Arabidopsis thaliana: one gene and its partner. The protein of the gene in region 2 interacts with the protein of the main gene of each other region in a pairwise test. Each region holds a gene or a part of one and is shown on either strand. Other genes may lie near its edges.

Evidence for each region.
Region 1: the proteins of AT4G28650 (region 2) and LURE1.2 interact in binary tests that used the Arabidopsis thaliana proteins (3 or more experiments, as listed by UniProt).

Annotation. Positions count from the first base shown.
Region 1 is NC_003076.8:17,472,535-17,475,310, reverse strand, and holds LURE1.2 (Putative membrane lipoprotein), read right to left. Parts: upstream 1,263-2,776; 5' UTR 1,201-1,262; coding exon 1,152-1,200; intron 1,057-1,151; coding exon 833-1,056; 3' UTR 826-832; downstream 1-825. Other genes in the region: ARP9 (actin-related protein 9), read right to left, coding at 1,882-2,025, 2,105-2,201, 2,317-2,366, 2,500-2,543, 2,630-2,776. UniProt on the Arabidopsis thaliana protein: Pollen tube attractants guiding pollen tubes to the ovular micropyle. Attracts specifically pollen tubes from A.thaliana, but not those from A.lyrata. Triggers endocytosis of MDIS1 in the pollen tube tip.
Region 2 is NC_003075.7:14,143,429-14,149,412, reverse strand, and holds AT4G28650 (Leucine-rich repeat transmembrane protein kinase family protein), read left to right. Parts: upstream 1-1,875; 5' UTR 1,876-2,136; coding exon 2,137-4,762; intron 4,763-4,842; coding exon 4,843-5,258; 3' UTR 5,259-5,455; downstream 5,456-5,984. Other genes in the region: IAA11 (indole-3-acetic acid inducible 11), read right to left, coding at 5,485-5,669, 5,765-5,826, 5,918-5,984. UniProt on the Arabidopsis thaliana protein: Involved in the regulation of procambium maintenance and polarity during vascular-tissue development. Involved in the pollen tube perception of the female signal. Phosphorylates MDSI1.

The DNA of each region.
Region 1 (2,776 bases), on a different chromosome or scaffold from region 2:
AACGATAGTCATTTGGAGTTTTAAATGTATATAGAATAAAGTATTTGTCAATAATACTTTAGTTGAGGGAATTAAAATGGATTCTTTATCTAATTATAGTAAACAATTACGCCGAACGTATGATAAACAAATTTTAATTATTTTTAATTGTAATTTGGAGGGTCGGCCGAGCGAGCCAACCCATGGGTTGTTCCAGAAATAATGTCGGCCATATGTCTTGATTTTGCCATACAGCACTCACCCCTTATCTTAGGCTGAGCGTGGCATAAATAGCCATCCGACCCTTTTTAATTTCTAACGGTGAGGCCCATCTTCTTTATATAAGCCCTTCTCTGCTCTCCTTCCCTCTCGTATTGCCGATGTGGGACAAAAAACTGTAACTACTTTTTTTTTTTTTTTCTCTCTTTAAACCATCATAAATCTAAAATAAAACTCCCTTAGAAATTGGTTTTGTTGTGTAGAGAGAAAGGGTTCAATCAAATACATGACAAAACATACAATATCTTAGCAAAATAACATTTACTCTGAGAACTTTTGTTTTTGGTTTTGAGTTATGACAAGTAAAAGTTATTGTGATAAGAAACAGAGAAAGCTTAAGATATAGACAGAAACTAGGGGTTGATGAAGTACATTGCTTGACCTTGAAGGTGATAAGAGTCTTTGTACTTCTTTAGACAGCCTTTATTAACTCCAATAAATTTCATGTTAAGTGCACACTACAAAACTTTTAGATTATTATACATTTTCATTATTGTAAAAAGAAGAGCATGGATGAACATTAAACAGTAATATAATTTGTTTTTTTATTAATGTTTAACAAAGTTACAATGCCTTATTTAATATCACTAATACTGCAACGACAAAGTTTTCTTTCAAAACTACATGTACGAATATACTTACCCCGTCTCATACAAGCTCTTGCGCAATCAAAACAGTAACCAATTCTCCCAATTTTAAGTTCTTGGTTCAGTGAGCGTGGATCAAAAGGACTTGTTGTTGGACTGAAAGAATATGTTCTCTCTTCATCACTAGATCCATTTATAAGTGTTGATGTACCTATCAAATTTTTAAAAGATATATCAAATTCTTAAACAGTTTTTATAATGATTATAATACTGACACATTATCCTAATTAAATAATTTAGACTTACATGAAGAAACAAAAATTAATAGAGTTAAGAATATAATAGGCAACTTCATTTCTTGGTAGAAATTAACCAATATCACAAAGAAAATATATTAAATATTATTGTGAATCGTTTTTCTTTTGTTTTGCTCTGGAGTATTAAAGCAATATTTAGTCATATTTATAGGCTCTGTAGATAAATATGTTATATAAAGAGTTAATTTTCATTTAAACGTTTTATTTTGTTATAAAGTAAATTTCAGTAACCTATTACGTTTGTTTTTGTTAAAAAATTATAATTGTTTAGTTATTAAAATCTGTTATATATTGGTATAAATAGTAATATACATCTAATAAGTGCAAACAATTACAGGTTTAAAACTTTATATTTCAAAAATTCTATTGAAGTTTACATTTTATTAGGAACTAAGACATATATATATATAATATAGTTTGATTAAAAAAAATCAAAAAGTTCTATATTATATATATATATATATATATATATACTAACTCATGATGCCTATCTTGCTTTTCTAACAAAACCTTAAATAACTTTTGGATTCCTTATTAATAGTTATGATCTTAAAGATGACCAAATCAGTTAAATTCTTATATGCCTCGAATCAATCCAAACTCTGAGAATATCTTAGCAAAATAACATTTACTCTGAGAATTTTTGTTTTTGGTTTTGAGTTATGACAAGTAAAAGTATTCTGATAAGAAACAGAGAAAGCTTAAGATATAGACAGAAACTAGGGGTTGATGAAGTACATTGCTTGACCTTGAAGGTGATAAGAGTCTTTGTACTTCTTTAGACCACCTTTATTAACCCCATTTACCATCCATTGATGTCTCTCAATCCAAGCCTCCCTCCCAAAGTCCAGAATTCCCAATATCTGTCTCAAATTTCAGTACATAAATACACAAAATCAAGAGTGGTAAGAAAATAAAAGATGCAAACAAATGCAAACGTACCGCTCCTCCTTTCCAAGTTACGAATTGTGGCTCCGTTCTTGATGGCAGAACCTGCACTGTATCAATGGCTTCAGTTGGAGGTATCGCGTGAAGAACTCTGAAACGCAAAGGAGAGAGGGACATAAACATTAGTTGAACAAAATACTCTGTTTAGTTGGATGTGCCTTCTGGATGTTAGAAAACGAAATGTTTGGTAAAGGAAACGAGCAAACCTTTCTTCCACTGCCGCTACAAGACCTTTCGTCAAACCAGCACCACCAATCTGAGAAGCCAAAAGAGAGAGAGAGTTCCAAGGTAACACATTCATGTATGAAGAGTTACATGGTAGCACATGATTTTAAGGAAGTACATGGCGAAAACTTGAGTGTGTAAAAAAAAAGGTTTTCAGGATCTACCAATTGAATGCTGGAGAAAAGCTTCCGTCTAAGGTCTATGCGTCCTACAAGCAAAGGAAGAAGAAAAGGATAACGTTTTTGTTAGGTGTTGATTTTTATATAATGCAGGAGGGTGCATCACAACATATACCAGCAGAGAGAATGCTGCTTGTAATGGCTTCAGCGAGACCAATCTTCTCTTCTTTCTTTGGTTTTGAAGGCGAAAATGCAAAACTATCCCACATTGGTAATCCCATGTTACCACCACCTCCAAAGTCCATGTTCCAAGTGTCTTCCA
Region 2 (5,984 bases):
TATTTCTTTATGATCTATAGTCTATAAAATCTCCTATAAACCATCCATTGTTCTTTTGGGTAATAATTGATTATTATAATATTTATGGTGTAGATCAAATTTATTTATTTTCCTAAGATATTGTATATATCAGTGATCAGTCGAAAGATTCAAAACTGAAAAGTGTATTCTATCAATTATATAAAAAAAAATTACTTACTGAGTAATCGTAGAATTTAAGGTATTTTATCCAACGATCGAAAGGATAATTAAGCAAATGAAGAACTTAACTACGGATCGGAATGTTTTCTAAAAACAACAAATAATAAGAAAGAAAAAACAATTGTATAAAAGACAGGTCCACATGAGTGCATGTGAAGCAACAGTTTGTGTTTAGTACTGTAATAAGAAGGATGGAAACATGAAATCAGTAAGAGGAGTGGGTAATTGTTGGAGTATTACAATAATTGTTTTGATGAATATTATGCGTGTGCATTTCTCTGCCATTTTCCCACAAATCATTTAGCATTTAGCTTATCTTATCCTTTATCAAATTGATCAGTTAGTTTACCTCGACCCGTTCTTGATACATACATATCTGTTTGAGTTTTTAAACATCTTGGTGTTGAATTTGTCACGGTTATTATTTATCAAGTTTGGATTCTTTTTAGTGATATCAAATTACTATGCTATGCTAATTGGGCAGTCTGAAAAAAAAATAAAAATTATATTCTCTCGTTTGACGTACGTTTTTTTTATTCCGTCTCCATTTTACTTTACCTTAAAGGCATTGGCACTGACTTTGGGTGTATACGTCTACACATGCTTTTAGTCTTTTAGACATCAGGTAGAAAGTTTACGAAATTAGAATTTTATATCTGAAGAACGTTTAAGAAAGTAGCATTTTAATTAGGGACAATTTGCTGATACATTCAAGAAGTGATACAATTAACCACTTTATTTAATTTTTATTTGTTATATTATCAACAATATTATACTATACCTATATTACACTGCCATAAATCTGTAACATGGGAAGATTCTTATCTAATCAATCATGCAAACGAAAGAACAGTAACAAGCCTGCACTCTCTGCAGTGGCATACATTATAGTATTCACACTTTTGTTACGCATCAAGGTAAGTATGATTGAACTAAAGAAATATGTTTTCACGTATAATGGCCATGAGTGGGCTCGATCTTAATTTTTTTTAACCAACCAAATAGAAAGAAGCTTTTCGAAATTCAAAAGGGGTAAGAAGAAACGTGAAGATCGATCGTGGGAATATCTTCATTATTGCTGATTTTAATTAATAATGAAATTTATTTGGACCTATCTGATATTTAAATATGCTGCAGAGCATAGGGTAATAGGATCATCTGTTCTTCTTCATCACATGTGCAGGTCACCCATTCTTATATGCTTCGAACGTTCACCTCGGTGGCTATATCCTAAATACGAGATTTACAATATAATCACTGATTCATCATTAATATGTAATGTAATCGAATATTGCTAAGAGCTAATGGTATATTTTTTGTTTTTCTTCCTTAGAAGGCAAGCGTTAAAAGACACAAAAGGAAAAAGGTGGGAAAATAGATAAAGACATTCTACAAAAGCTGAATTAGAATGAAGTTAAGCATAAGCTACCTCTATGCCACACACCAAGTGTATGTATAAAAAATAGTAATTATATTAGTATTAGTTTAAGCTTAAGCTATCTATGGCACATTCACAAATCACTATACAGCAAATCAATAGTTGACTTAATTAATTTTAAAACACCGAACACATTTTTGGATTAGTTGTAATTGTGAAGAAAACACATTCTCTCTTCACATGTTCAATGTCTTAAGAAATTTCTCAAATACTTCCAAGATCTTGTTTATTTCTTTTTTTCTTAGAACATGTAACCCTACATACTCTTTGATCACTACATCCATATAAAACCAAGATTCATTTTTATATATCTCTGTGTTTATATGTCACATATATATAACATAATAAACACAGAACAAGCATATACTTACAGAGTTTCTTCTTATTCTACTCTCTTCCTCCACCACCTCCTTGCATGTTCACTAGTCTCGTTCTTGGTAATGAACTAAGGAGTCAAGTTTCAGTTGAAGCTGTTGAGACAGAGGAAGAAGTTGAAGATGAAGATGAAGATAATAGTTCTCTTCCTTTACTACTGTTACATTGGTTCTACTTCCTCTGTTTTAGCTTCCATCGACAATGTCAACGAGCTCTCTGTTTTGCTGTCGGTGAAATCAACTCTTGTGGATCCTCTCAACTTTCTCAAAGACTGGAAGCTTTCAGACACCAGCGATCACTGTAATTGGACCGGTGTTCGGTGCAACTCAAATGGCAATGTTGAGAAGCTCGACCTGGCGGGGATGAATCTCACAGGCAAAATCTCAGATTCGATCAGCCAGCTGAGTAGCCTTGTCTCGTTTAACATATCATGCAACGGATTCGAGTCGCTGCTCCCGAAATCAATCCCTCCGTTGAAATCTATTGACATCAGCCAGAATTCATTCTCAGGGAGTCTTTTTCTATTTAGCAATGAATCACTTGGGCTTGTTCACCTCAATGCTTCAGGGAACAATCTCTCCGGAAATCTCACGGAGGATCTCGGGAACTTAGTCTCTTTAGAAGTTCTTGATCTCCGAGGGAATTTCTTTCAAGGGTCACTTCCAAGTTCATTCAAGAATCTACAGAAGCTGAGATTTCTCGGATTATCCGGAAACAATCTCACCGGCGAGTTACCAAGCGTTCTCGGCCAGCTCCCTTCACTTGAAACCGCCATTCTTGGTTACAACGAATTCAAAGGTCCGATTCCACCGGAATTTGGAAACATAAACAGCCTCAAGTACCTTGATTTGGCCATCGGAAAGCTCAGTGGTGAGATTCCGTCAGAGCTTGGGAAGCTCAAGTCACTCGAGACGCTTCTCCTGTACGAGAATAACTTCACCGGAACAATTCCAAGAGAGATAGGAAGCATTACCACGCTAAAGGTTCTTGATTTCTCCGATAATGCGTTAACCGGCGAGATTCCAATGGAGATAACAAAGCTCAAGAACCTCCAGCTACTGAACCTGATGCGCAACAAACTCTCAGGCTCCATTCCTCCCGCCATCAGCAGTCTAGCACAGTTACAAGTCCTCGAGCTCTGGAACAACACGCTCTCCGGCGAGTTACCAAGCGATCTCGGGAAGAATTCTCCATTACAATGGCTTGACGTTTCTTCAAACTCCTTCTCAGGCGAGATTCCTTCAACTCTATGCAACAAGGGAAATCTAACCAAGCTCATTCTCTTCAACAACACCTTCACCGGTCAGATTCCAGCGACTCTTTCCACTTGCCAATCACTAGTTCGTGTTAGAATGCAGAACAATCTACTAAACGGATCAATTCCTATCGGCTTTGGCAAGCTTGAGAAGCTACAGAGACTCGAACTAGCCGGAAATCGTCTCAGCGGAGGGATCCCTGGAGACATCTCCGATTCAGTTTCACTTTCTTTCATTGATTTCTCAAGAAACCAGATCCGATCATCTCTCCCTTCCACAATCCTCTCAATTCACAACCTACAGGCGTTTTTAGTCGCCGATAACTTTATCTCCGGCGAAGTTCCAGACCAATTCCAGGATTGTCCTTCACTCTCTAATCTCGATCTCTCATCAAACACTCTCACTGGCACTATCCCTTCAAGCATTGCTTCATGCGAGAAGCTCGTAAGCCTCAACCTAAGAAATAATAACCTCACCGGCGAAATCCCTAGACAGATCACGACAATGTCTGCATTAGCAGTGCTAGATCTCTCCAACAATTCCTTAACCGGAGTACTACCAGAGAGCATCGGAACATCTCCAGCTCTGGAACTCCTAAACGTCTCATACAACAAGCTCACAGGTCCAGTCCCTATCAACGGCTTTCTCAAAACCATAAATCCAGATGATCTAAGAGGAAACTCCGGTCTCTGCGGCGGCGTTCTACCACCGTGTAGTAAATTCCAAAGAGCAACATCGAGTCACAGTAGCCTCCACGGGAAACGAATTGTCGCCGGATGGTTGATTGGGATAGCATCGGTTCTAGCTCTAGGGATTCTCACCATTGTTACGAGAACTCTGTACAAGAAATGGTATTCTAACGGATTCTGCGGCGACGAGACGGCGAGCAAAGGTGAATGGCCTTGGAGATTAATGGCGTTTCATAGATTAGGGTTTACAGCTTCCGATATCTTGGCATGTATCAAAGAATCAAACATGATCGGAATGGGAGCAACCGGAATCGTGTACAAAGCAGAAATGTCACGATCAAGCACAGTTCTCGCCGTGAAGAAGCTCTGGAGATCTGCCGCGGATATTGAAGATGGAACCACCGGAGATTTCGTAGGCGAAGTTAACCTCCTCGGGAAATTGAGACACAGAAACATAGTGAGGCTCCTAGGGTTCTTATACAACGACAAAAACATGATGATCGTATATGAATTCATGCTCAACGGAAACCTTGGTGATGCGATTCACGGCAAAAACGCCGCCGGGAGACTTCTCGTTGATTGGGTTTCGCGTTACAACATCGCGTTAGGTGTAGCTCACGGCCTCGCTTACCTCCACCATGATTGTCATCCTCCGGTGATTCACAGAGACATCAAATCCAACAATATCTTGCTCGACGCGAATCTCGACGCCAGAATCGCCGATTTTGGCCTCGCCAGGATGATGGCGAGGAAGAAAGAAACCGTTTCAATGGTCGCCGGTTCTTACGGTTACATTGCTCCCGGTAAGGTTTAAATACCATACCGATTACTAAATTGATTACAATCCGGTTTAGTCTAACAACATATGGTTGATCATTTGCAGAGTATGGATACACTTTGAAGGTGGATGAGAAGATAGACATATACAGCTACGGCGTCGTACTATTGGAGCTGTTAACCGGAAGAAGACCATTGGAACCGGAGTTTGGAGAATCAGTAGACATTGTGGAGTGGGTGAGAAGGAAGATAAGAGACAACATATCACTAGAAGAAGCATTAGATCCTAACGTAGGAAACTGCAGATATGTGCAAGAAGAGATGCTTTTAGTTCTACAGATTGCTCTTCTCTGCACTACAAAGCTCCCGAAAGACAGACCTTCGATGAGAGATGTGATATCGATGCTCGGAGAGGCTAAACCGAGGAGGAAAAGTAATAGTAATGAAGAGAACACTAGTCGTAGCTTGGCCGAGAAACATTCATCGGTTTTTAGTACTTCACCTGTAAATGGCCTTCTTTAGTATGAGATTTAAGAATCAAAAGAGGCCGATAAACTGATTCGTTCGATTCGTGTTCTGTATGTAGAAGAAAGAGAGAAAGAGAGAGAGATATGTATCTTTTGATTTAATTTTTCCATGTAGAATAAGTTTCCTTTGTTTTACATGATCATATTAACTTTGTGCATTGCTCTGAACCGTTTTGTTTTTGTGCAAGAAAGGGTTTTCTTATAGATTTTTAAAGTGTGATTTACAAAGAGAACATATAACTAACTAAAAGAAAAATGGCAGAGCCAAAAAAGAAACTGTAAAGGGGAGAGAAGAAGAAGAAGCTTCTTACAATGTTTTTGTCTTCTCTTTGATCTGTGATCTGTCTTATTACTGCTTCAAACATAAAGGGTTCTTCGTAGATTATTATTTGCTTCATAATATCATCTGAGCTGTAAACAAGGATCACACAAACACGGTCACAACGACAAAACAATGATTTTAATACAGATATCAGGATTTGATCGAATCAGTAAATGTACCTTTACCAGTAGCCTCCGATGTTTTCATTATCCGGAGCCTTCTCACTGAACCAATAAACATCCTAGACACAAGTAAAACTCAGGTTCAAACTTCAGAATTTGACGCTTACACGGGACAAAGCATCAAAAGCATAAGAACATATGTATGCATACCCCCACGGAACATCGCCAACAAGCATCCAATCTCCTTCCTTGTCTTCATACGTTAGTACTAATCCGG